Drosophila melanogaster: one gene and its partners. The protein of the gene in region 3 purifies or fractionates together with the protein of the main gene of each other region. This does not show direct contact. Each region holds a gene or a part of one and is shown on either strand. Other genes may lie near its edges. The genes, in order: ProtA, CTCF, Nlp and mod.

Region 1 (4,802 bases), on a different chromosome or scaffold from region 3:
TTTGGCGGCCGGCGTGTTTGTCTCGATGTCGGATGGATGTGGCCCTCCTATCTGGCTTTAAACTAATGCCGGGGCAGTCTGTCGACAGGCAACCACCTTGCCACGCCCCACGCCTTGTAATGACGTTATTTACATGCTGCAACAACACTGGCAGCAAGCGCGGGCAATTAAATAAATCATAGCGGTTCACGCGGTTCGGCCGAAAGAAAGATCCAGTTAATCTAAAGAGAAACTCTTAGTTCTTTCTTTCGTTGTCAGAGTGAAATTGTAAATAAATTACACGTCCTGATTGATCAACTTTTTGTTCGTTACAAAACAACGTCGGGAATCAGATTGCAACTGTTATTAATTATGGGCTTTGTTGCAGTTGCAACCGCTTGTCTCCTGCTGTTCAGGTCTTCATCCTGGTCGGTAGGGCTTGGGCTTTACTTTTGGTTTGAGACTCGGATTGCTCACTGAATAAGTGACTTCTCTAGGACGCAACTCTGCGGCTTCTGGGGCCAACACTCACATGCGGGGGGAACATACTCCATCACAGTTGATGGCTGACATCGTACACAACAAATAAATCCCATATAAAACTTCCCTTTCCTTTTCTTTTCAGAGTTTGTAAAAATTTTCTACGATGAGTTCAAATAATGTAAATGAGTGCAAGAGCCTGTGGAATGGCATAATTTCCATTTCTGCAAAAGATGAAAGTCCTAAAGGTCTCACTGAAATGTGTAATCATCCAAAGAGGAGAGCACCGCCCAAATGTAAGCCAATGAAGTCCTGTGCAAAGCCGCGCCGAAAGGCAGCCTGTGCCAAGGCGACTCGGCCCAAGGTCAAGTGTGCACCGAGTCAGAAGTGCAGCAAGCAGGGACCTGTCACTAACAACGCCTATTTGAATTTCGTGCGTTTCTTCCGAAAGAAGCACTGTGACTTGAAGCCGCAGGAATTAATTGCAGAGGCCGCTAAAGCGTGGGCCGAGCTCCCGGAGCATAGAAAGGATAGATACCGCCGGATGGTACGTATTTTTTTTTTATATTATGAAGACTATTAATTTGTCCTTTCAGGCATGCAAGGTCACCACCAGTGAACGCCACAAGCGCCGACGGATTTGCAAGTAATACTGAGATAGGAAAAAGTCTGATGCAGTTAAGTCCAGGCATATATTTTCATTGATTTGATACCATTCGATGAATTTAGAAATAAAAAAAATTAAAAACCGGGTTTCATTTTTTTTACGATTCTAGGATGTTGGAATAGCGCGAATGGGTATTTGTGGTTGTTCCAGGTGCCCGGCGAAATTCAATTTATTATTCCACTATATGAGCTTTCTAATGAGCTGTGATCCAAAGAAATGAAACGGCTGAGTGGTAAATGGGCACGGCAATGGTGAATTCGAAGATATGGATAGGCTTCTGCTTCAAGCTTTTCCACAGTTCTCTGACCAGGCGTCTGTTGTGAGACAATCGAAATACCCAAAAATTGTTTCACATAATTTATGCCACCTATGAGGAAAACTTGCCACACTGCCACTGGCAAAGGGAAACATGGGGGCGTAACCACCTAACAGAAGGATGTTTCCCAGGATGCGTATCCGCCGGCGTCGTTTCGATCAAATCTAACTTTATTCCATATAGTTGGCGTAGGTTTTGCCGTATACCCCTTATACCGGGCAGTCGGTTTTTTTAAACATTAGTTGTAACTTGGTACACAAACAGTTCACAAGCAAAATTTTTCCAAAAGTCTTATTTTTATGCTCTTCTTAAAAATTAGTTGTGACAAAAATTTGGTTTAAAAAAAAAAACTTTATAAAGGTAAGTGAAATAAAACGAATTACAATTTATTTTTACAGAACAACATACCATACAAATTATTTTAAACGAAGCGCATAATTATTTTTTATTGGTATGCCAATCAGTTTCGATAAACTTCATTTGAAAAAATTTTACTTTCAAAAATTTCTTTTAAAGAAGCTTTTGTGAAATTCAGTTCTGTAAATGCATTGTGATGCGATTAAATTAATGTCGACTGTCGACGTGGCGTGTTTGCCTCGATATCGGATGGATGTGGCCCTCCTATCTGGCTTTAAACTAATGCCGGGGGTAGTCTGTCGACAGGCAACCACCTTGCCACGCCCCACGCCTTGTAATGACGTCATTTACATGCTGCAACAACACTGGCAGCAAGCGCGGGCAATTAAATAAATCATAGCGGTTCACGCGGTTCGGCCGAAAGAAAGATCGAGTTAATGTGAAGAGAAACTCTTAGTTCTTTCTTTCGTTGTCAGAGTGAAATTGTAAATAAATTACACGTCCTGATTGATCAACTTTTTGCTCGTTGACAACCATAAAAGGGCAGTAGACAGGGGGCACACTGTCATTGTGGCCGAAAATGTCCAGGCAGCCGCTCGTAAACATAAATCCAAGTGACGCTAATTGTTTGTTGCAATTACTGCTGCAGTTGTTGCCACCGTTCAGTTACGTGTGCAGCCAAATGGGGCAATGAGTGGGGTTTTGGGCTAAGGGGTGGTGAGTAGGGACTTGTGCTTGCATGCAAATTTTGTTGCATCTGCAGTTGCTGCTGCTTGTGCTGCTGCTTGTGCTGCTGTTGACGCTGCAGCAACGGCAAACAATTACTCAAACATTGTTGCATCTGCTGCTGATGTTGCTGGCACTCATCTCGTTGTGCGTGCTAAATGGCAACTACTCTGGCGGCTAATGATAATCACTCGACGCCCTCAGCTCCTGTCGGTTCCTACTTAGTTTTACCTGCCCTCGTTGGCTTTTAAATCTAGTTTAGCACTTAATCAATCAAGGCTTCCTTTCATTGAAGAAAAATAGCTTTGAAGATAACTTCCTCCCGGCGAAGCCCCAATAATATCCATTCAACTCGTGCTGTTTTTTTTTATATTGATCCACAAGATAATTTTAAGTTCGAAGAGCCAAAAGGAGCATATTGGGCCTTCAATGAAGCTCTCTAGCTAAAGCGAATTTTGTATTCCAACTGGGTGTTCAGTGGGGTTTGATAGACAATGCAGGCAGTGTGGTGCGATGGCACAGCTGGTCACAAATTGTAATTTGTACACATCCATAACGATTTCAAATTAATATTTCGAATTAATATTTGTCAAGCCCAAAATATCAGCTGTGGGTGGCAAATAAATTGCTCGGATTTGAGGAAACTTCAGTAATCTTGAATTATACAGATATTGGTTTAGCTTTTTTATCCTTGGAGAGTCCTTCTATTAATTATTTACCACTGCCCATTTGCTGTCGGGTACTAATTTTCATTACAAACTACTGTAGATTTCCATGACAATTATATAACCAGTTCTTAATACTCATTGGTCTTGGCTAAGAACCGCCACTTAGGCTCCCACACATGGTGACTAAACGTCGGTTGTCGGGAGGCAGCTTGCAACTGTTATTAATTATGGGCTTTGTTGCAGTTGCAACCGCTTGTCTCCTGCTGTTCAGATCTTCATCCTGGTCGGTAGGGCTTGGGCTTTACTTCTGGTTTGAGACTCGGGTTGCTCACTGATTAAGTGACTTCTCTAGGACGCAACTCTGCGGCTTCTGGGGCCAACACTCACATGCGGGGGGAACATACTCCATCACAGTTGATGGCTGACATCGTACACAACAAATAAATCCCATATAAAACTTCCCTTTCCTTTTCTTTTCAGAGTTTGTAAAAATTTTCTACGATGAGTTCAAATAATGTAAATGAGTGCAAGAGCCTGTGGAATGGCATAATTTCCATTTCTGCAAAAGATGAAAGTCCTAAAGGTCTCACTGAAATGTGTAATCATCCAATAAGGAGAGCACCTCAAAAATGTAAGCCAATGAAGTCCTGTGCAAAGCCGCGCCGAAAGGCAGCCTGTGCCAAGGCGACTCGGCCCAAGGTCAAGTGTGCACCGAGGCAGAAGTGCAGCAAGCAGGGACCTGTCACTAACAACGCCTATTTGAATTTTGTGCGTTCCTTCCGAAAGAAGCACTGTAACTTGAAACCGCGGGAATTAATTGCAAAGGCCGCTAAAGCGTGGGCCAGGCTCTCGGAGAATAGAAAGGATCGATACCGCCGGATGGTACGTATATTTTTTATGTTATGAAGACTATTCATTGGTGTCCTTTCAGGCATGCAAGGTCACCACCAGTGAACGCCACAAGCGCCGACGGATTTGCCAGCAATACTGAGATAGGAAAAAGTCTGATGCAGTTAAGTCCAGGCATATCCTTTCCTAACATTCGATGAATTTAGAAATAAAAACCAATTAAAAATCGTGTACTTTTTATTACGATTCTAGGATGTTGGAATAGCGCGAATGGGTATTTGTGGTTGTTTCCAGGTGCCCGTCGAATTTCAATTTATTATTCCACTATATGAGCTTTTGCATGAATAGATAATGAGCTGTGATCCGAGGAAATGGAACGGGAAAACTGCTAAGGCTGAGCGGTAAATGGGCACGGCATTGGGAATTCGAAGGTATAGGAGGAGTTGCGTGTGCTTCAAGCTTTCCAGAGTTCTCTGACCCGTCGTCTGTTCTGAGACAGCTAAATTGAATTATTAATAACACGCAGTGCCCGCAATGTTATGGATGCCATAAACCCGTTTCTGCAACTGTTCTGTGAGTAAATGTAATGCACATTGTGGTTTTGGGAAGACAACCTTGGGACAGTTGGCAAAAATAGCAAACGAAAAGGCGAATGGAACGGAACGGACTAATCGCAGCACTTACGACCATAATTTGTCAATTTTCGAAACAATTCCCAAGGCTCGCATAAATTGTCTGGTGGCCTCCTGTCTCCTTTTCC
Region 2 (5,604 bases), on a different chromosome or scaffold from region 3:
AGTGTCATTTTATCAAATCTAACTCACTCGGAACTCAATGTGCACTTCCTTTATCGACGTTGTTCCATTTTAATTGTTATACAAATGCGATTCGTATACATACATACATATGTACTATTAACGACAAATTGTTAATGTTTTATGCAGACACTATAAAATCAACACAAATGAACGCAACTATATATATTGAAATAATGATAATGATGCACTGCACGGCAGGTTTTTGCACATTGCACCACCTAAAAAATATATACATATATTATATATAAAAATATATATATTTTTATTGTAGTTATACACATGAAAGAAACAAAAAGAAATAAACGGCAAGAGAAACCGGAAAAATAACAAGAAAATTAACCAGATTGCTGAAGTGGAAATGGAAAACTATAAACTATGCGAACATTTTACGGTAGAAACGACAACTAATAGCCGAGAATTTACAGTGCACGCCCAGATGCAGCTAAACGCAAACGCACCTAACATTTTGCCCATATACTATATACTACTAATGAAAACATTGAAATATATGTAAATGTATTTAAATAAATATTTATGCCAAGTTGTCAACTAAAGTTTAAGTGTCGGGGATCATTTACAAATAGTCGCCATATCGGCATGTTAACTGCTTATCCAGAATTATACATTCATTTAGAAAGAATACATTTTTAATATCCATTTCTTAACCTAGTAAAAATAGGTTTCCTAACTGTTTTAAATGTGTATTTAAATAGAAAACAATGTAACGTAGAAATACGTTATTGTATGCTTGGTATGTACATAAGTTAGTCATAATTACTTATCCATTAGCTTTTGTTTTCAGGAGACTAAGAGTCCTGCTCAATCATATCCATCAGCTGCAGAAACTCCTGGGAAGCGCCATCGACCTCGTTTTCCCCATCGCCATACTCCTCATAATCATCGTCGTCCTGCATGAAAACCAAATTTTTGAGTAATGGAACAAATGCCAGCTAAAGTTTTTGCAACTAACCTCGAAACCAAAGCAGTTTTTGGCACTGATCTTGGAGTTGGCGCTCGGTTCGTGCTTGACCAACACCTCCTCGTCGCCATTAACCAGCTCTACGACCATTACCTCGCCATCATCCCCTTGCCATTCCACGGTGAAGTCCGAGTTGTCCGGCTCCTCCTTGATGTGGAACGTCTTGGTGCCCCGTTGACTTCGGAGGCGTTGATTGATGATCATCGGCTGCTTTTCGGAGGCGGCAAGCCTGGCCTGTTTGTTGATAATGATAGGTGCTGGCTTGATTCTCTGACGGATCGGATCACTGACTATGGTTTCCACATCATCATCGGCGTCTTCAGCCTCCGAGTTCTCCGGCTCGATTTCAGCCAAGTCATAGCTCTCTGGGTTGTCATCCTCTTCGTTTTCCTCCTGGTCCCGGTCCATATCCACATACTGATCCTTGATCAACGTGATGACAGTGCCATCTTTCTGCAGCCGCACATTGCGGCCCAATTTAAGGCGACGCCGCTTTTCGCGAGCATTCGCCGAATCATCGTGAGTCTCCATGTGTCTCATTAGATTACCCTTGTGGGTAAACTCCCGCGGACAACTCGGACACTTGTGCAGTTTCTCGCGCGGTTCTGGTGGCTGATACTCTTCGTTGTGCACGAGATTCATATGGCGGCGCAGCAATTGACGCTGCCGGAAGGCCTGCGGGCACTGATCGCAATGGAACGGCTTTTCGTCCAGGTGGATGAGCATGTGTGAGGCCAAATGGCGTTGGGTGACCGAAGCGTAGCTGCACAGCTTGCAGCTGTAACACTTTTCGCCCTCGTGTGACTTAACGTGCAGCTTGTATTGATAGCGATCGGGCAGCTGCTGGCCACAGCGCCGGCATGTCATTGGCACATCAGAGGTGTGCATGTGTTTAATGTGAACGCGCAGGTCAGCCTTCCGACCGCAAGTCGTCGGGCAGTAGTTGCACTGAAAGACGGGCTTGTCGACCACGCTGTGGATGAGCTTGTGGGCCTTTAGTGAGTTAGATTGCGTAAATCGCGACTTGCAGATGTCGCATTGGTACTTCTTCTCGCCGGTGTGGATAACCATGTGTCGCTTCAGCTTGAACATGTCCTGCGATGCGTAGGTGCAGTGCGGACATTGATATGGTCTCTCGCCCGTATGGCAGGTCATGTGGCGGCGCAGTTTGGTCAGTTCCACGCTGGCGTATGTGCACTCCGTGCACTTGTGCGGTTTTTCCTTAGTGTGCTTGTAGCGAGTGTGACGGACCAGCTCGCCGCTGGTGGTGAAGGCGCTTTCGCAGAGCTTGCACTTGTGCGGCTTATTGCCCATGTGCGTGTTTATGTGGTTTTGCAGGCCCACGTTCGATCGAAAGGACCTCTCGCAGATGGAGCACTTGAAGGATGGCTCGACGTCATGACTTCGTGAGTGGCGCGTGATCAGAAACTTCTTGCTCGCCGTATACGGGCAGTGTGGGCATGAGTACTTATGTCCCGATGCATTCGAATTCTGGCTGGTAGAAGAAGCTGTCTTCAGCTTCACCTCCTTGTTGCTTAGCACAAAGTCTACGTCCTTCTTGTCGGCATTCTCATCCTCTGTCGTCGCATTGTCCTCAAATTCGTAGACCTCAGCCTCGTTTGGCGTCAGCGTAGCTGTTGCTGCCTCTACGGCAGCTTCGTCTACGGTATAGTCCGACAATTCTGTCACCATTGAACTGATGTCGGGCTCATCTACCAGCTCCTCGAGCTCCCGCTCCAAGTCCATGGGTTCAGGCTTCGGTATGACAGGGTTCTTTCTAGGCCTGCCCCTGGGTGCCGGTACTTTGACCACTAATGCCGGTGGCGGTGGCATCGCCGATTGCTTCGCCTTGGCTGCAGCTGCTCGGGCTGGTCGAACGCTAATTGCCTTGGGTTCTGGGGGAGGCTTCGAAGTAGTCGCTTTCGGTGTCGATTTGGCTGGCCGCAAATTGATGGCTTAAAAAGAGTCGAGCAAGTGATACAAATGCACGCACATATATGGCAAAGGGTAACTCACATTTATTGGTGGCTGTACTGACCACGGAACGTGTAGCTTTCCCCGGCTTGGCAGCCGCCTGTTTGAGCTTCTTTTGTAGCTCCTTTTGCTTCTTGGGCGTAGTCTTGATATAGCAGTTGCCCTCGTCATCTATGAAATACTTATCCTCGTCGTCCTCCTCCTCCTCCTCCGCTTCCTCCGCATGATCCAAATCAGCCTCCGCCTCCTCCATCGGTTTCGATCCACCAGCCTCCGCACCATTTTCATCCAAGTCGATGGCCTCGGCGCTGATGGCCTCCAAAATCGTGTTTACCACCTTCTCATCGCTGTTGCCTTCGATCTCCTTATGGAAATTGTTGAGGAAGGTCTGCAGATCCTCGGGGTCCTCGTCCTTTTTTGTCCTCCTTGGCATTCCTATGGACAAATTGGATTTGTTTTGGTGGCGACCCACAGCGGATGACCGGGATCCCGAAGAGGGCGCTTATCGATTTCTCGCAACGACCAATTGTAATCCCGCTTGATTCAATTCACCTACCGACACTTGGTTGCCAATAAAAAATATGTTGAAAGGGACGCCGGTTGTCGTTATTGTTGTTAAATCTACAATTTAATTTGCGTCCACATGAAACAGCTGCCCATTTCTAATAAAAGATGGCGACATGTAGCATCAGTACCGCCAGCTATCGATAGTTCGATTGGTTTCGTATCTTGTCATCTCTATATAAACTATCTTTAATTCTTGATAACAGAAAATATATAATAACGAATCCACGGTAATTTATTAGATAAAAAATATAATCTGTATTCTTTTGGATACTGGATAAGCCAAGGATTTGGGCTGCGTAAGCGGTTTTGATGTCGCGAAAGCCCCTGCGGATGTTTATGTCTGTTGGATTGGGTGCCCTCTTGAGTGGATGGATCGCTCATGGGTACTGATCAGCCGAGAACTTGAGCTGCGTTAGCGGTTTTGACCCTTTGGTGGGAATAACGGATTCGGCAGCAGATGTTAATGGTTACATTAGGGCAGGCTGGATTTGTTATTGTCACCAGAATTGGGGTTGTTCTTATGGGATACTTGAATTTATGACTTATATTCTAAGGCATTCAATGATTTGGTGGTATGGCTGTTGCTATTATACCATAGTATAGATGACATCAGATTGTAAATTTAGGAATTACTCTTAAAGATTAAAAAAAATCCCCTTTACACAATGAATGATTCACATATTCTGTGTTCGAAAACCGGAAATCAGAACCATTCCGGTTCAAAATTCTCCTTTTATTACAATTATTTCAACAGGGTTAATAAAATCTTTATTTAAATGCTAAAACAATTTCATCTTTGTCAATTTGTGCTCATATTAAGTAAGTTATCCCATTGATTATTTGCGGAACTAGCTAACGTTTCTTTGTGGTTAAACAATTGGGCATCAATTATGACATGCTGATGGCCCTTGAATTCTAATGTTAAACGAACCATTTCGTTAAACACTTACAAGGGACAAACGCTGAAGTGGCCGATACATTTCGGACACTTCTGAAGGAGACCCGGGAACGCATTTGGATTCAGGGACATGAAGTACACCCTTACGGCTTCTACGATCTCACAAGTGTGATCCGCAATAACCGAAAGTTGCACGTCCTCGAAGTTCCGTAAAATGTACAACAAAATGCGGTAAAGAACGGATTCCGTTGATATAAAGAACTTTAGCACCGAGGTGAGGTCTTCCAGCATGGTGTCCATGAAGGCTCTGGTCAATAGCATTATATGGTCAAAGACTTTTGGATCAAGCTTATTGGCCATGATGTTGATTAGGCTCTCAAAACTTTCAGCATTGATCACGTGCTCAAATATGATTTTTCCGTATTTCTCCAGTACGAAAACAACACCGCCCACCAACACAGAGCTTAGCTCCAAGGCGAACACGCCGGCGGCATAGGTACTGGGTTCCTGTCGAGGATGGGATGTGGGCAGCGGTCCGATTAGACGGGAAACCTGATTAACGCCGCCCAGTTGAAGGCGACCAGAACCCGCATGGCTACCGGGAATGGGCTGACTAACTTTGCCTAGGACATTCCCTCCTTGGTTATGTTGTACACTAGCTCGCAATTCCGCACCCGTCGTCTGCACATCGCCATTTAGTAAAAATCCTTTGCCATCGGGTGCGAATGAGTATCGCACGCCCTCCTGATTCAAGTTTTTGTTGATCTTAAAAAGATCATTAAACTCTTGTGGCGAAATTTCGTTTACGTTGCGTATAATGTCCAGTTTGCCGCGAGTGTTGCCTTGCATCCGAACGGTCTCCTTGGCAGCCTTGTCAAAGGTTCGCCTGATGGTAAAAAAAATACAAGTAGAAACTCTTGTTTACGACAGAATGTATCTCATTGAACGTTTTTTACCGCTGCCTATTAGAAAGGTTTTTACGATAGTCGGCAATATTAGCATTGCTTGTCTCATTAATTATGGTCGAAGCCAATTTAAAGTTGTAGACGCTGTGCGTGAGCAGCACCAACGAAGCGGACAATTGCAAAACATCCATCGCAACTATTTCGTCACCGTCTTTTGCTTTCTGTGGAAGATCATAAATTTCATAAGTTTAATCTATCTA
Region 3 (7,869 bases):
GCTGTTCGGCAAGAACGTGCGCCAGAGGATGTACGAACTCATCCAGATCGCCGATCCCAAGCACCGCGAGACCCTGGAGAAACAAGCCTTCGAGCGCATCAAGGTTATGCCCTCGCCGAACTAAGCAAGCACTGAAGAAGCACTAGAGATCACTATTTACTAGCAGCGACCCGCAATCTTTGAAGGCATTCCCGATATCGCTTTGATCCACTTCATAGAACTGCAATCATGATAGCCCTTTAGCATTACCAAATCTGAAATTTCAATTGATGAGTAACGAATTGATGGGAGAAATAAAACTGAAATTGATTAAATGCCTGGTTTCAAGAATGTTTGCTAAACGGGGAAGATAAGTATTTATAGTTGCCACTTAGTTCATCAGTGTAAGAGAGCGTTTAAAACGAACTCCCACTTTAGTAAAATGCAATAATATTGTTTGTATTCCGACAAGTTTATTTTCATACTGCAAATATGAAGGGGCGCGTACAGGAAGTCCGGCTTAGCTTTAGTTATACTTTAATATATATACAAATCTGTGTGTTCGATTAGTGTCCGGATCAGTCACAGTCCGATCCGCTCCCGCTTCCGGGTGCGGAACTCCTGGCTGAGCGACAGACCATTCGCTGGGGAAACACGACCGAGCACACAACGTTGTCTTTGAATTGAATGTAAAAGGAGCTGTTCAAAAGGAACTAGATTGTATTCTCAGTATGCATCGTATTGTATTATAGGGCCTAAAACTGTTTTTGCTTTAAAATCTACACGTTCATAGCTTAAACCTCGATGGATGATTGGCGGTCAGCAGTTTACTTCTTCTTGTTGTTCTTGGCATTTTTACCATCGGCGGCGTTCTCGATCTTGGCGCGCTTCTTTGGGTGCTCGTCCTCCTCGTCCTCGGCGACATCATCCTCCTCGTCATCCTCCTCCATGTCGACCACCTCCACATCGTCCTTGATGTTGTGCCCGTGGATGTAGACGGGTCCGCTGCCCTTGATCAGCTTGAATGTCACCTTCGACTCGTAGAACTCCACGTCGGGATTGACGGCGCGGGTCTCTCCGGCCTTCAATACGGCGATGGGAATTTGCACGGAGTCCTTGGGTGTGTTCACCTGCGTAAACAAGGCGAAGATTCGCAAATTAGATAGATTCATTGACTTTTCAAGTGGCTTATAAATAAATTGAAGTTAGACACGTTTCGAATGTTATCTATTGTTCACTTAGGTAGGAACATCAATTGAAACATCAATCTTTTCCTGCTTTTAACTGCATAAGATTGCTGGCCAAGATTGACCCATATAGATCCCCGTCATATGCCTTTCAAGTGGCCGAAGATAGTTGTTGAATTCCCAGATTACACCAATTTCGGATCCAGCGAGCAGATAGCGCGAAGTTCATCACGACTGGCCCACTTAATCGCTCTGCAGTCTTCGTCTTCGTCTCTATCTCTTATCGTTGTCGGCCGAACAGAACACCTTCCCCAAAACTAACTGAACTGTCCGATGATAACTGCCTACGCACTCACATATTCGCACAGTCGCTTTCGGTAATAACACCGTCGACTGGCGGCCGCCTGACCACTCGTCTGCCCACACTGGAGTGGATCGGTTCGTTCCCTTTAAACTGTAGCCAGGCTCATCTGAACCGGAGTCCAGCAAGCGCGAATCTAACAAGTGACTGCTAATTAATCATCCGCAACGTGTAATTCGAATCAAAACTAGTATTGGCCGATCGTAAAGTGCTCCAAAGATCTTGTCGACATGCGCGATAACGAAGGTAAGTGGAGAAGCGCGTTCCCTCAAGAGGATAAGTGAAAGCAGTGTGATACGAAGGAAACTACTCCTTCCCCTTCTATTAAAACCAACCAACTGAATATCAGAAAACACAAACTATTACTCAATGGGGCTATAATTAGTGAAGGAACAAACACTGTTTGATTGTGCTGTGATAAATAAAGAACTAGTTTACCTAAAACTTGATGAGATAAACTACAATTAAAGGAAACTAAACAAAGGTCTTCGGAGACATTACATTATTTATGGTAAATACCCGGTAATGAGTCCGTAATTAGACAAGAGAATCCACAAGATGACAGTGCTATTACGAGCTGCGAAAGATGAGTTATCAGTGACAAGCTGGCTTCCTGGGGATGAACGTGTCCATCAAGCAAGAAGGGATCAAAACGTAAATTTCCCCCGTTGAATAATATAAATGCATAAGATACAAACTAGCCAAGGATACTATATGCGGCTCACTAATTATCTAGAATATGAGACACCAAAACAGAGGGTTCAAAGTGCTAACATCAAGGCATTGTGCTGCCTGCTGGATGAACTTGTCTATCAGCTTGTAGACATCTTTGGTATTTTTCCAGAAGTCACAAGACCACCGAACCGCAGGAAATCATCGAGGCACTTCAGATCATGTGCAGAGATTGCGAATGGGTGTACATAAAAGAGCGTTTTTCAATCAAATAAACCACTTAACTATGGCCATATCAAGATTTCAAGGCGCCCCAGGAGGCACACCTACTAAATAGCCCACTTGTGCTTTCCAGATGATCTCTACCGGGAGCGTCTGCCGAACGTTTGCGGTGCCGTGAGCTCAAAGGCGAGGAGCTGCTGCAGCATGCGCTCCGTCCACAGATACCTGCCCGTCACCGATTGGCTGCCCAAGTACCAGTTGAACTTCCTGGCCATGGATGTGGTGGCGGGTCTCACCGTGGGCCTCACAGCCGTGCCACAGGCCATAGCCTACGGAGCTGTGGCCAATCTGCCACCAGCCTATGGGCTCTACTCCGCTTTTATGGGTGGATTTGTGTACATACTGCTTGGAACTTGTAAGGATATCACAGTGGGTGAGTTGGGGAGCCTCTGGTGAGGTGGTGCGCTAAGTAATTCAAATCGTTCTTCCACAGGCCCTACGGCCATCATGGCGCTTATGGTGCAGCCATATGTGGACGGCAACCCAGCGTATGCGGTGCTAATATGCTTTCTGTCCGGCTGCATCATCACCCTAATGGGTTTACTCAATCTCGGAGTGCTCATGCGGTTCATATCGGTGCCGGTGACCACGGGTTTTACGATGGCAGCCGCCCTAACCATTGCCACCGGCCAGGTTAATAGCCTCTTTGGCATTAGCAGTAGTGCCAGTGGGTTCCTTAACAGCTGGATATACTTCTTCGGTCACATAACACAAACACGCCGAAATGATGCCATCCTCGGCTGCTGCACACTTGTGCTCCTGCTGCTCATGAGGGTGGGTAATGCTTAATTAAATTGCTTAATTAGAAGGTTTGATTAGCGAGACTATAAATGTTTAAATAATTTCAGCAACTGAAAAACCTAACTTTCGGCTTCAAAAGCGTGTGGAAGTATATTTCACTGGCCCGCAATGCTGTGGCCGTGTTAATTGGCATACTCCTGTGCTATCTTCTGAAGAACGATGGCAAACTGCCCTTTCTAGTCAGCGGCAGCATCACTCCAGGCCTGCCGCCTTTCAAGCTTCCCCCTTTTCACACGGAGGATCCAGAGACTGGAGAAACCATTAGCTTCGGTGGCATGGTATCGAACGTAGGCACTGCCCTGGTGTCCATACCACTGTTGTCCATATTGGAGAGCATAGCTGTGGCCAAGGCCTTCTGTGAGTGCGGAGGAATAACTTCAGTTCATATTCCATAACTTGAGCTTCTTCTACTTTCAGCCAAGGGCAAGATAGTGGACGCATCGCAGGAGATGATTGCCCTGGGCGTCAGCAACATCCTCAGCAGCTTCTTCTCCTCCATGCCTATCACTGGATCCTTTACAAGGACAGCCATCAACAACGCCAGTGGAGTAAAAACCCCGCTGGGTGGTGCGGTTACCGGCGCTCTCGTCCTCATGACCCTGGCCTTCCTCACCACCACATTTGCCTACATTCCGAAGGCGACCCTGGCAGCCATCATCATTGCAGCCATGTTCTTTATGGTGGAGTACGAGACCATTGGCGAGATTTGGCGGGCTAAAAGTGAGTGCTACATGGCATTTGGGATCCCACGTGAAGTTAAAGTAAGTCTGGTTATCTTACAGAGCGCGATATGCTGCCTTTCCTGGTTACCGTGCTGACCTGTGTCTTCTGGACCCTGGAGTACGGAATGGTGGTGGGCATCGTCTTCAATGCGCTTTTCCTGCTCTACAAGAGCATGAAGCCGCAGTTTTTCTTGACAACCGAGAAGGTGAGCTGACACACTGCATATATAGGGCCTAATAATTTCTATTGGCAATCAACCTAGTTTAACGGCATTGAGGTGACCATGGCCGATCTCAAGGGCAGCGTGGACTACGCGGCAGCCGAGTACTTGAAAATGTCGCTTGTGTCGCACGTGACGCAAAGAAACAGCGAGGGAAGTGCCCCCACCACACTGGTGGTCATTAAGGGACACGAGATTGCCTCAATTGATACGACAGTGGCTTTGGTGAGTGCCAGCTTTCTTTGCTGCAAACTATGACCTTTGACCCGAAACCTCTTCTCTATTCCTCGCGAAGAACCTCAAGTCACTGCGCGAAGATCTCGCCCTGCTGAAGTGCGACATGATCTGCTGGAATTGGAGTATTCCGGCGGCGGGAGTGATTTGCCGGATGGACAGGAAGCTGCGCAGTATGTTCAAGTTCTCGAAAAGCTTTCCAGACCTAATGCAAACAATTGCGGATGCCGAGGCAGCCGATTCGTGTATCGCCGTTGACTTGAGTCAATAAAGAGTGCTCTTTTGTCTTGCCGTATGTGTATCTGCGTACAGTTGCGCCAATGAATTTGGTTCGGAAAGGTGGGGTACTTAAACTATGAGGATCTTGATGGTTAAGGTATAATGATGGTTAGGTACAACTAATGAGAAATTTTAAAGCACAAATTAAAAATATTTATTATAATAAAAATTATATTCTTTAAAGAAGATGTGCTTTGATAGTTATTCTCGAAAGTTCCTAACAATATACAAAACACCTAAGTCCCTGGATTTACTGGGACAGTTGTAAAGTACCTAGTACTTCTTTGCAAGTACCTTGTACTAAAAAGAATTTATGTACCTAGCACATCCCATTGGTAATGTACCATGGCAATCGAAAGTCCGGGGCTGGTTACTCGGCGGCCGTTTGCAGATGTACAGACACAATTACCCTAGCCCACCACAACGAGCGAAAAGTTCGAGGTTGTTCTGGTCTGGGGGAAAAATGGAAACCGGTCCCTGCCCCGCCGGCCGGAAAAATGCAACGAAAAAAAAAATGAAAAAGAAAAAAAGAAGAGGACACCAACCGGCGCGCGCATACACAATTTATGGGATTTACTACATGCACTGAATGCCCCGTTTCGCATACACAATGAATGGAGTACTCACCTCGACCACGTTGAACTCGTTCTCCTTGGCCTCGGCGCCCAAGAGGATCTGTTTGATGACCAGCTTCTGGCCGCGTGCGTAGTCCTCGTCCACATCCCACGTGACGCTGTCGCTCTCGGCGGTCAAAGTGACTCCTGCGGAGGGGATATAGTCGCCATTATACTTTCTGATTCGTATCTTATTCGCGCACTCAAATCCGAGGGTTTGAGGCTAGACACACACAAATTGGCCAGCGGCAAATCTTAGAGCAAAAACACCGGCAAGCTTCGCAGACACTCCGCCTTTTCGGTGGTAAATACGCCTTCTACGCGTCCACTTTTGCCCCCTTTCGCTGCCTATAGAGTGCAACTGCTAAATTGTAATTACCGTAGAATGATTCCTCAGCCATGGTAGGTAATATTTAATATTAATTCCACACAAAACCAGCGGCGAACACGTGTTGAGCAAAATCTTTTGCAAAATGGTAGCTGTCGCAGGGTTGCCAGGCCGACGTAAGGTGCCGAAATCGATGATTGTCAGACTGGGAATCAAAATCGCAGGGCTGCCACTTGTAGTGTCCAATCGAATGTGACAATCTATATTCGTTTGTTGCAAGCTAACGCGACAGTAAAATATATTAAAAAATATTTCAAGTCTTCATTACCAGTACTTGCGAAGTTCCCAACAAATTAAACGAATAATATCGATAGTCCTGCGCTTCGATAACAGCACCGCTCAACGCTTCACACAACTGCAGCCATCGCCGTTTTACGGGCACGTGTAGAGTACAAAAGGTTCTTTTATTAATTGACTGTACATCTGTGTTCCAAGGCCTGCAAATGGAGTCCGAGTCGTTTTATGGTGAGTACCATTGCCATTTGGGCTGGAAGAGCGCTCCAATAGCCATCCCATAGCCACGCTGCGAGCAGCTCCCCTCCAGCCGGCAAAAAGCAGTCGGAAATCCAACCCTTCTCGCCGTTCGTCCACTTCCAGGTGTCACACTCAGCGAGAAGGAGGCCATCGCACAGTTCGAGGTCCCAGATGTACCCGAGGAGTACATCGTCCACTCGCACAAGCTCATCATCAAACAGATTTCCCTCGGCCCAGAAGCGAAGACCGGCGAATTCAACGTTGTACAGGTGAGCCTCGATACCGGCAATCTGCCCCGCGTCGCAGGTCGTAAATTTAAAGGCGACATGGCTGATTTAACTCATATCATATTTCGCGAAAAACTCGGAAATTATACAGTGATAAAATGCACACAAATTTAATGTTTCGCTTCCAGGCGGAGACGAACATAAACGACGATGGCGAGAAGAAAACCTTGAAGATCCCCATTGCCGTGTTGAAGGTCGGCGAGACCCGTAGCTTAAGACCAAATGTCGAGTTCCCCAATGGATCAGTGACCTTCAAACTGGTGCAGGGAAGTGGACCCGTACACGTATGCGGCAAGGTGAGCTCCATCCATCCATCCATCCATCTATCTATCTTTCTATCTACTTTGGGTTCCTGTTCCTAACAAATTGCCGTACCCTCAGGTCGAGATGAACTTTGGCGAGTTTGACGACGGTCAGATTTACGAGGAGTATTCGGACGAGGAGGAGGATAGCGAACTGGAATTCGACGAAGAAGCAGCTCCTCAGACGAACGGCAAGAGTAATAAGAAGAAGTAGAAACACATTACACTCCAGTAAGCTAACTAAATGATCCGAAAAAAATAAAAACTTCAATACGACTTTAATAATGTAAAGAAACCATCCAATTATAATGACCTTTTGTTTTTGGTCTATATTATATGGAATTTTATTCATTCTGTGTTGCGTATGTTCAAATATGTCACTTAATGTAAACGAATTGTGGCAGTTTTAAGAAGAATGCTCACGGAAGATTAAAACAAAAGGAACCCACTGGGTTTTTGTGCTAATTACAGGCTCGGGCCACCGAAATCTTCTGGCGTGGCACTCTGAAAGTATAGATTGGTGGTTGGTTATCAGTATATAATTATAAAGTAGGAGGCTGAGCGCCTACCGTATGTGAATCACTCGACGCCTCTCGTCACTGGGATGTATAAGGTCCAGTTTCTGGCTCCACTCAATCAGCTTCATTTCATGGCGCAGCTTCTTGCGGTCGAAGTAAGATATGACGCAACTGATGGGAATCCAAAAGACTGCAGTGACGAGGACAACGGCCACTGAAAATATGATTGAGCAAGTGTGGCTTAGTGGGGATCTTCAGAATGTAATATTTAAGATTGCAATACTTACTGACAATGTTGTCCTTGAGAAACCTCAAGGTCTTGGCCACATTTATCTCCTCGATGATGTCCCAGAAGCGCTCCACCACATCCTGTATGGTCTTTTCGCATACGCCCTGAAAGAAATCGCAGCTTAGCATAATTATGGGCAATGTAAGGAGTCAATCCACAAGCATACCTTGTTGCAGAATCCTGTGATGCAGGGTGTGCCATCGGGTAGGACATCAGGTGGCTCTACGGGGAAGCAAGTCTCATTGATGCTCATGCGACA
Region 4 (5,242 bases), 2.0 Mb from region 3:
TCCTAATCGAAAGGGTTTTTTTTAGGTTGGCTAAACTCCCTATACGTTGCTTTTATCCAAGTGATGATTTTTTATACATATTTACACATAAAAAGGATAAACTAATTTTTTGAACCAACAATTACTGAAATTTAAAGTACTAATCTAAATGGCATTTACAAAAAATATAAACATACATACAAACATTTACAAGTTTATACATATGTTAGCCAACCATATTAGATTTCTGAGTATGAACAAAAAAATTCAAAAAATTATAAAATACTACAAAAATGTATTACTAATAAATTAATTATACAAAGGAAATTCATATAGTTCTCGCTTTTTGAACAAGCGCAGCTGTACATTGGGCCATTTGGAAGGGATAGGAACCTATATACGAGAGTACCGAAGCGAGATAAAATTCAAACACAAAAAAAAAAACGGAATATACTGGAGATCGCACCTGTATACGTTCATATAAGCAGTAAATCGTTTTTTGAAGTATCTAGTTACCCAAAACCAAGACGTTGAATACAAAATTCTTATCGGGGTTTTTATTTACTTTTATTTAGTTCCATGTCCGATGCTTATAAAAATCGACATCTGCTTGAATACGGCTAGCATTTCTCCGGTAAAAATTTAATGGAGTATCTCTTATCAACTAAATCCATAACATCAAGTTGTATGGAATTATCGGGGCTGTGGCCGTATTTATGGTACTACGCAACTTAAAGCTAATTCTTGTAGTGTTCAAGTTCTAAAATCTTGCCCTTTTAACAAACGATTTACCACCATTCTCTTGTGCCGGGCGCTTGTTAAATGGTTTTTTACCAAAGTTTGGCTTAGTGTCCTTTTGGAACTTCCGCGGGGCGCGGGTCTGACCAATAGCTAAGCGTTTCTTTAACAATCTATGCTTCAGCAGAGAGTTTGGCTCAATAAATATAGGGGCGTTGTTTACAATGCTTTCATTAGCCAAGAAAGATTTGCAGAAACCCTCATCGTCCTTGAACTTTACTACCGCTTTTTGGCCCAACATTATGATGCTTTCGATTTCGCCGCTATCGTTAAACACTTTCCGCAGGTCGGCTTCAGTAGCATCTACAACGAAATTTTACATGATAATGATTAATAATTTTAAACAATTTTACGAAACGGGTAACCCACCTGAAGTCAAGTTCGTCACAAGAATGGCCCTCCCCGAGGTGCTGCGTTCGAATCGGTGAAGCTTCCACTCAAACTTATTAACAGTCTTTCCGTCGAGTTGTGCTAAAGCCTTCGTGGCGGCATCCGACTGCTTGAACGTGACAAAAGCTAAAACTGCCTTGCTGCACACAACGTCGATTTCTTCAACATCACCAAATTTTTTGAATATCTTTTCTAGAGCGTCGGAGCTGTAAGACTCGTGTTTGCCCACATTTTCGACAACCAAGGTAAGTTCACTGGTACGTGAAATCGATTCTTGTGAGATCCGACGAACCGTTATAAAGCGAGAAAACAGCTCAGTGCTATGCAGTTTAAGAGCCTTCGGTATGTCATCGACCGACGCCAAACGTACAAAAGCTCTGGGCATGAGGCGGTTACTGGATATAGTCACCGCCTCCACGGGAGCTACCTTCTCAAAAAAGGTTTTTAAGTCGTCCTTGGTAATATTAGGTCCAATCAGGCCAACCACCACCGTGCGTTCGTTGTTCTCTTCCTTATTTCTCGGTTGGGACACAGACAAAACATTGTCTCCAAGGGTTAACGCTTTAGGCTTAGCCTGCAGAACAGCTTCTGCTCCAGTTGACGTATCAAAGGCAATGAGAACTGATTTATTGCCATTCAAATTAGTGAAACGCTGCAAAGCGGAAAGTCGTCCGAACTTGGCGAACAATGCGACCAAGTCCTTGTGGAGATACTCTATGTGGAACAAATATACTAAGTTTAAATATACTTGAAAAATGAAATAATAAACCAGTTACTTTACCGTTTGGTAGGTTTGTGACAAAAACGATCTGGTTTTTTGGCGTTCCCAGCGGAATCTTGCCAACCTTTACTTTTGGAATTCCTCTATTTTCTTCGGACTTTTCAGAGTTGGCTTTTTCTGATTTCTTGGAAACTGGCTTCTCTACAGGCGCTTCTTCATCATCATCGGATTCATCTACCTCATCCGCGCCTTCACTTTTGGAAACCTCACCAGGCTCCAACTCATCGTCATCATCATCTTCCTCATCGTCACTATTGTACTCTTCATCTTCCTCAGCCTCGTCGTCAATTAAGCCCGCTGCCTCTTCGGTCTGAAAAGTAGACAATTTTCTTATAACCGCTGATGGGAGAGCACCAATAAAGACAATTTTTTTTTTATCGATATATGAACCGAGTCGGTATAAAACCAGAGGATCGTGGGTTATGTGCACTCGTCTTATAATTATAAAATCTTTACAACCACGTGGCAAAGAAAACGTAAAATGGATTCTTATCCATGCAGATCTATATATACGTGCATACTATGCATGTAATGTTAGCCATATCCATTCAGAAGACCACGTTTTTTTTATAGCTTACCTCAAAGTCGCTGTCGTCCCCTGGCTGCTCGTCATTTTGCTCCTCCACATCAGACTCGTCCTCTTCACTGAACTGCGGCACTTCTTTAACAGGCTGTTTTCTGGATTTTTTGGAAGGCGATTGGGGGACTACTGTCTCCTCTTCCTGTACCTTTGTGGACTTGGTTACCCGTTTGGCCAAAGGCTTTTCCTCTCCATTCGTAGCTTTTTTTCCTTTGACGGTGACGGCTTTCTTTTGGGCCATTTTGACAGCTTTTAGAGGTTTTCTGGGCAAAATTAGCAAAGTCAAGTTTGGACTGAACAACGCGTGGTTTCGTTCAATAAAATGCACGTGGAAAAGAGGGACAGAACAGTGTGACCGTTGTGCTCTATCGGTGCTAAGGCTGATTAAATAAAGTATTTTAGAGACTTCAATCTCATTTTTATAGCTCTATTCCACTACTAAATATGGTTTAAAGTCCGTTCATGCACATGTATACATATAAAAATAATAAAAGCCTTTAAAAAATAAAATAAATATTAAACAGTTTATATAAAGTATTTATTTAAGACTTAGGATACAATCTATGATTAGATATTTACCAACGGTCTGATTTTACATGTGTTTATACATTCCAAATGGTAAGTTTCCTCAATCATCAGCTATGAATCATCTGTTTCTAAAGGAATTTATAATATATATATTATATTTCATTAAAAAGCCAAGTCAACCTGCAGTTGCATTTTATCTTAGTAGGAAACTTAATGTTAATTCAAGCAATTGTTAATGGTATTGAAAGAAAAATTATTAAAAGTCACTTACTATGGGCCAGGGCACACTTAGGAAATATAAATAGGTGCCAAAAATGCAAAATAAATATTAATTATAGGCTGCGATTATGGTACGACCAAACATATATCGGTTTGTTCGCACTGAATTGAAATACCAGAGAAGTACATAATTTGTTAGTATGTAATATTCCCTGGTATTTTTCCAATGACTGTCAAGCAGTGCTGGTAAATGGCGGAACAAGTATACACATAAAAAATTAAATTGCAGCACAAGTCCCGCAACGCACACATATATTTATTTAACGGAGTTCCAATTAAGCAGGAACAGCAGAAAAGCAGAATAACAAGCATAACCGCCAAATAACATAATGAACGGTGGTGGTGGAGGAAGTGGAGGAGCAAATGTGAGCAATGGCTCCAGCACCAATGTAACAGCTGCCGGGAGCACTGGGGGCGGAAGCGCAGGCGACGAGACTGGTGGAGATGCCAGCTCCAGACGCCAGGCGACTCGGGTGTTTAAGAAGAGCTCCTCCAACGGCAAGATAACAGTTTACCTTGGCAAACGGGACTTCGTCGACCATGTCACGCACGTGGATCCCATTGACGGTGTTGTCTTCATTGATCCAGAGTACGTAAAGGACCGTAAGGTTTTTGGCCAGGTGCTTGCCGCCTTTCGGTACGGACGTGAAGACCTAGATGTTTTGGGATTAACGTTCCGTAAGGACCTGTATCTGGCGCATGAGCAGATCTATCCGCCCATGCAGCTGGACCGCCCGATGACCCGGCTTCAGGAAAGGTTAATTAAAAAGCTGGGGCCGAACGCCCATCCGTTTTATTTTGAGGTTCCGCCCTATTGCCCAGCCTCTGTGTCCTTGCAGCCGGCTCCTGGAGATGTGGGCAAGTCTTGCGGAGTAGACTACGAGCTGAAGGCCTTTGTGGGTGAGTCTTTGTGGGTCTGATCTTGTGGGTGTGTCCGTATACGGTGGTCAGTCAAAGTCAAAATCATTGATATTTCGCAGTGTGGCACATACCGTGTTTATTATATATGTTGCAATACATTAAATTTACAAATTTACAAATTTTTCTTTTTTCTTTACAAATTTTTCTTTTACCTTAGAGCAGTTAAATTGCGGGTACTATTGTTTCTGAGAATAAAATAATTTATTAAGAATATGGTTACAGTAGCAAAACTAGCTTTGTTCTTTTCTATAGAAGTTAGACTGTAAATTTCTTATATGTGTGGTTTTGTGTAAGTTAGCGCGTGCATCACGCGGTTGGGAACACAGGGTTAATCAATCCAACTACGTCGGGCTGATGACGCAGCGTTCACCTAATTGAAATTCGACACTTCTAATTGGAATTTGAATCAACCGAAGTTGCAGCGCAGTTAATGCTGTTGTTCGCCTTAACCAGGCGCCGCAGTTGGCGGTCTGACGATTTGTGTGCCAACAGCAAAGATCTTACATAGTTTCAAAATGTTTATTTGTTTAGTTTCTAATCTGTATTTAATAATTAAAAAAAGGTTTAAAGAATTTGTGCTTTATTTTATTAGTAGAAAGGTTTTTGGTTTCTGTAAATTTTAAATTTTTCATATTTTCGTACGATCGCCGAGCTCCACTCGCATATATATTATGTGCCCGTGGCACCCCCTTAATACATTCTCTGTTCAATAAATATTATTACCTATTGCCCTATTTTGTTTACACATTTTTGTGCTTTTATAGTTTCTGTTGGAATTTTATTATTATTCAGCAGCCAAATTGTTTACTGTTATAAACAGAGATTAATAAAATAGCAGCAATTGGCGTGTTGTTGGGTAAAAGAGTTTATAACAAGAACTTAATATTTATTTTTTCTGTATATAAGCCCAAATTCAATTTAAGAATAAAAACAACAATGTTGGAATTTGTACAGTTGGAAGAAACGATTTCTCAGTGCTTCTCTGC

Evidence for each region.
Region 1: the proteins of Nlp (region 3) and ProtA purify together in Drosophila melanogaster (affinity purification with western blotting; 2 studies listed by BioGRID, with this or other methods). This does not show direct contact.
Region 2: the proteins of Nlp (region 3) and CTCF purify together in Drosophila melanogaster (affinity purification with western blotting, with the first as the bait; one study listed by BioGRID). This does not show direct contact.
Region 4: the proteins of Nlp (region 3) and mod purify together in Drosophila melanogaster (affinity purification with western blotting, with the first as the bait; one study listed by BioGRID). This does not show direct contact.

What each region holds. Positions count from the first base shown.
Region 1 is NT_033779.5:14,878,511-14,883,312, reverse strand, and holds ProtA (protamine A), read left to right. Parts: upstream 1-1,660; 5' UTR 1,661-1,802; intron 1,803-3,673; 5' UTR 3,674-3,694; coding exon 3,695-4,075; intron 4,076-4,124; coding exon 4,125-4,184; 3' UTR 4,185-4,263; downstream 4,264-4,802. Other genes in the region: ProtB (protamine B), read left to right, coding at 626-1,006, 1,056-1,109.
Region 2 is NT_037436.4:7,353,051-7,358,654, forward strand, and holds CTCF (CTCF), read right to left. Parts: upstream 3,664-5,604; 5' UTR 3,531-3,663; exon of another isoform or gene 3,410-3,530; 5' UTR 3,408-3,409; coding exon 3,017-3,407; exon of another isoform or gene 2,956-3,016; coding exon 992-2,955; intron 930-991; coding exon 828-929; 3' UTR 528-827; downstream 1-527. Other genes in the region: pst (pastrel), read right to left, coding at 4,488-5,325, 5,396-5,565.
Region 3 is NT_033777.3:30,002,918-30,010,786, reverse strand, and holds Nlp (nucleoplasmin), read right to left. Parts: upstream 6,003-7,869; 5' UTR 5,754-6,002; coding exon 5,732-5,753; intron 5,500-5,731; coding exon 5,366-5,499; intron 4,754-5,365; exon of another isoform or gene 4,731-4,753; coding exon of another isoform or gene 4,521-4,730; intron 4,451-4,520; coding exon of another isoform or gene 4,268-4,450; intron 4,211-4,267; coding exon of another isoform or gene 4,065-4,210; intron 4,003-4,064; coding exon of another isoform or gene 3,700-4,002; intron 3,640-3,699; coding exon of another isoform or gene 3,330-3,639; intron 3,256-3,329; coding exon of another isoform or gene 2,915-3,255; intron 2,855-2,914; coding exon of another isoform or gene 2,555-2,854; intron 1,774-2,554; coding exon of another isoform or gene 1,758-1,773; exon of another isoform or gene 1,598-1,757; intron 1,110-1,597; coding exon 807-1,109; 3' UTR 435-806; downstream 1-434. Other genes in the region: CG7920 (uncharacterized protein), read left to right, coding at 1-124; CG7912 (uncharacterized protein), read left to right, coding at 1,758-1,773, 2,555-2,854, 2,915-3,255, 3,330-3,639, 3,700-4,002, 4,065-4,210, 4,268-4,450, 4,521-4,730; Nph (nucleophosmin), read left to right, coding at 6,184-6,205, 6,338-6,483, 6,630-6,797, 6,883-7,017; tace, read right to left, coding at 7,265-7,307, 7,373-7,535, 7,609-7,714, 7,777-7,869. UniProt on the Drosophila melanogaster protein: Binds to core histones and functions in the ATP-facilitated assembly of approximately regularly spaced nucleosomal arrays. May participate in parallel with other histone-binding proteins such as NAP-1.
Region 4 is NT_033777.3:32,050,262-32,055,503, reverse strand, and holds mod (modulo), read right to left. Parts: upstream 3,445-5,242; 5' UTR 3,328-3,444; intron 3,185-3,327; 5' UTR 3,108-3,184; intron 3,024-3,107; 5' UTR 2,770-3,023; coding exon 2,527-2,769; intron 2,259-2,526; coding exon 1,949-2,258; intron 1,882-1,948; coding exon 1,147-1,881; intron 1,081-1,146; coding exon 740-1,080; 3' UTR 530-739; downstream 1-529. Other genes in the region: krz (kurtz), read left to right, coding at 3,665-4,235. UniProt on the Drosophila melanogaster protein: Its capacity to bind DNA and protein(s), and its differential expression during development suggest a role in the regulation of gene expression during Drosophila development.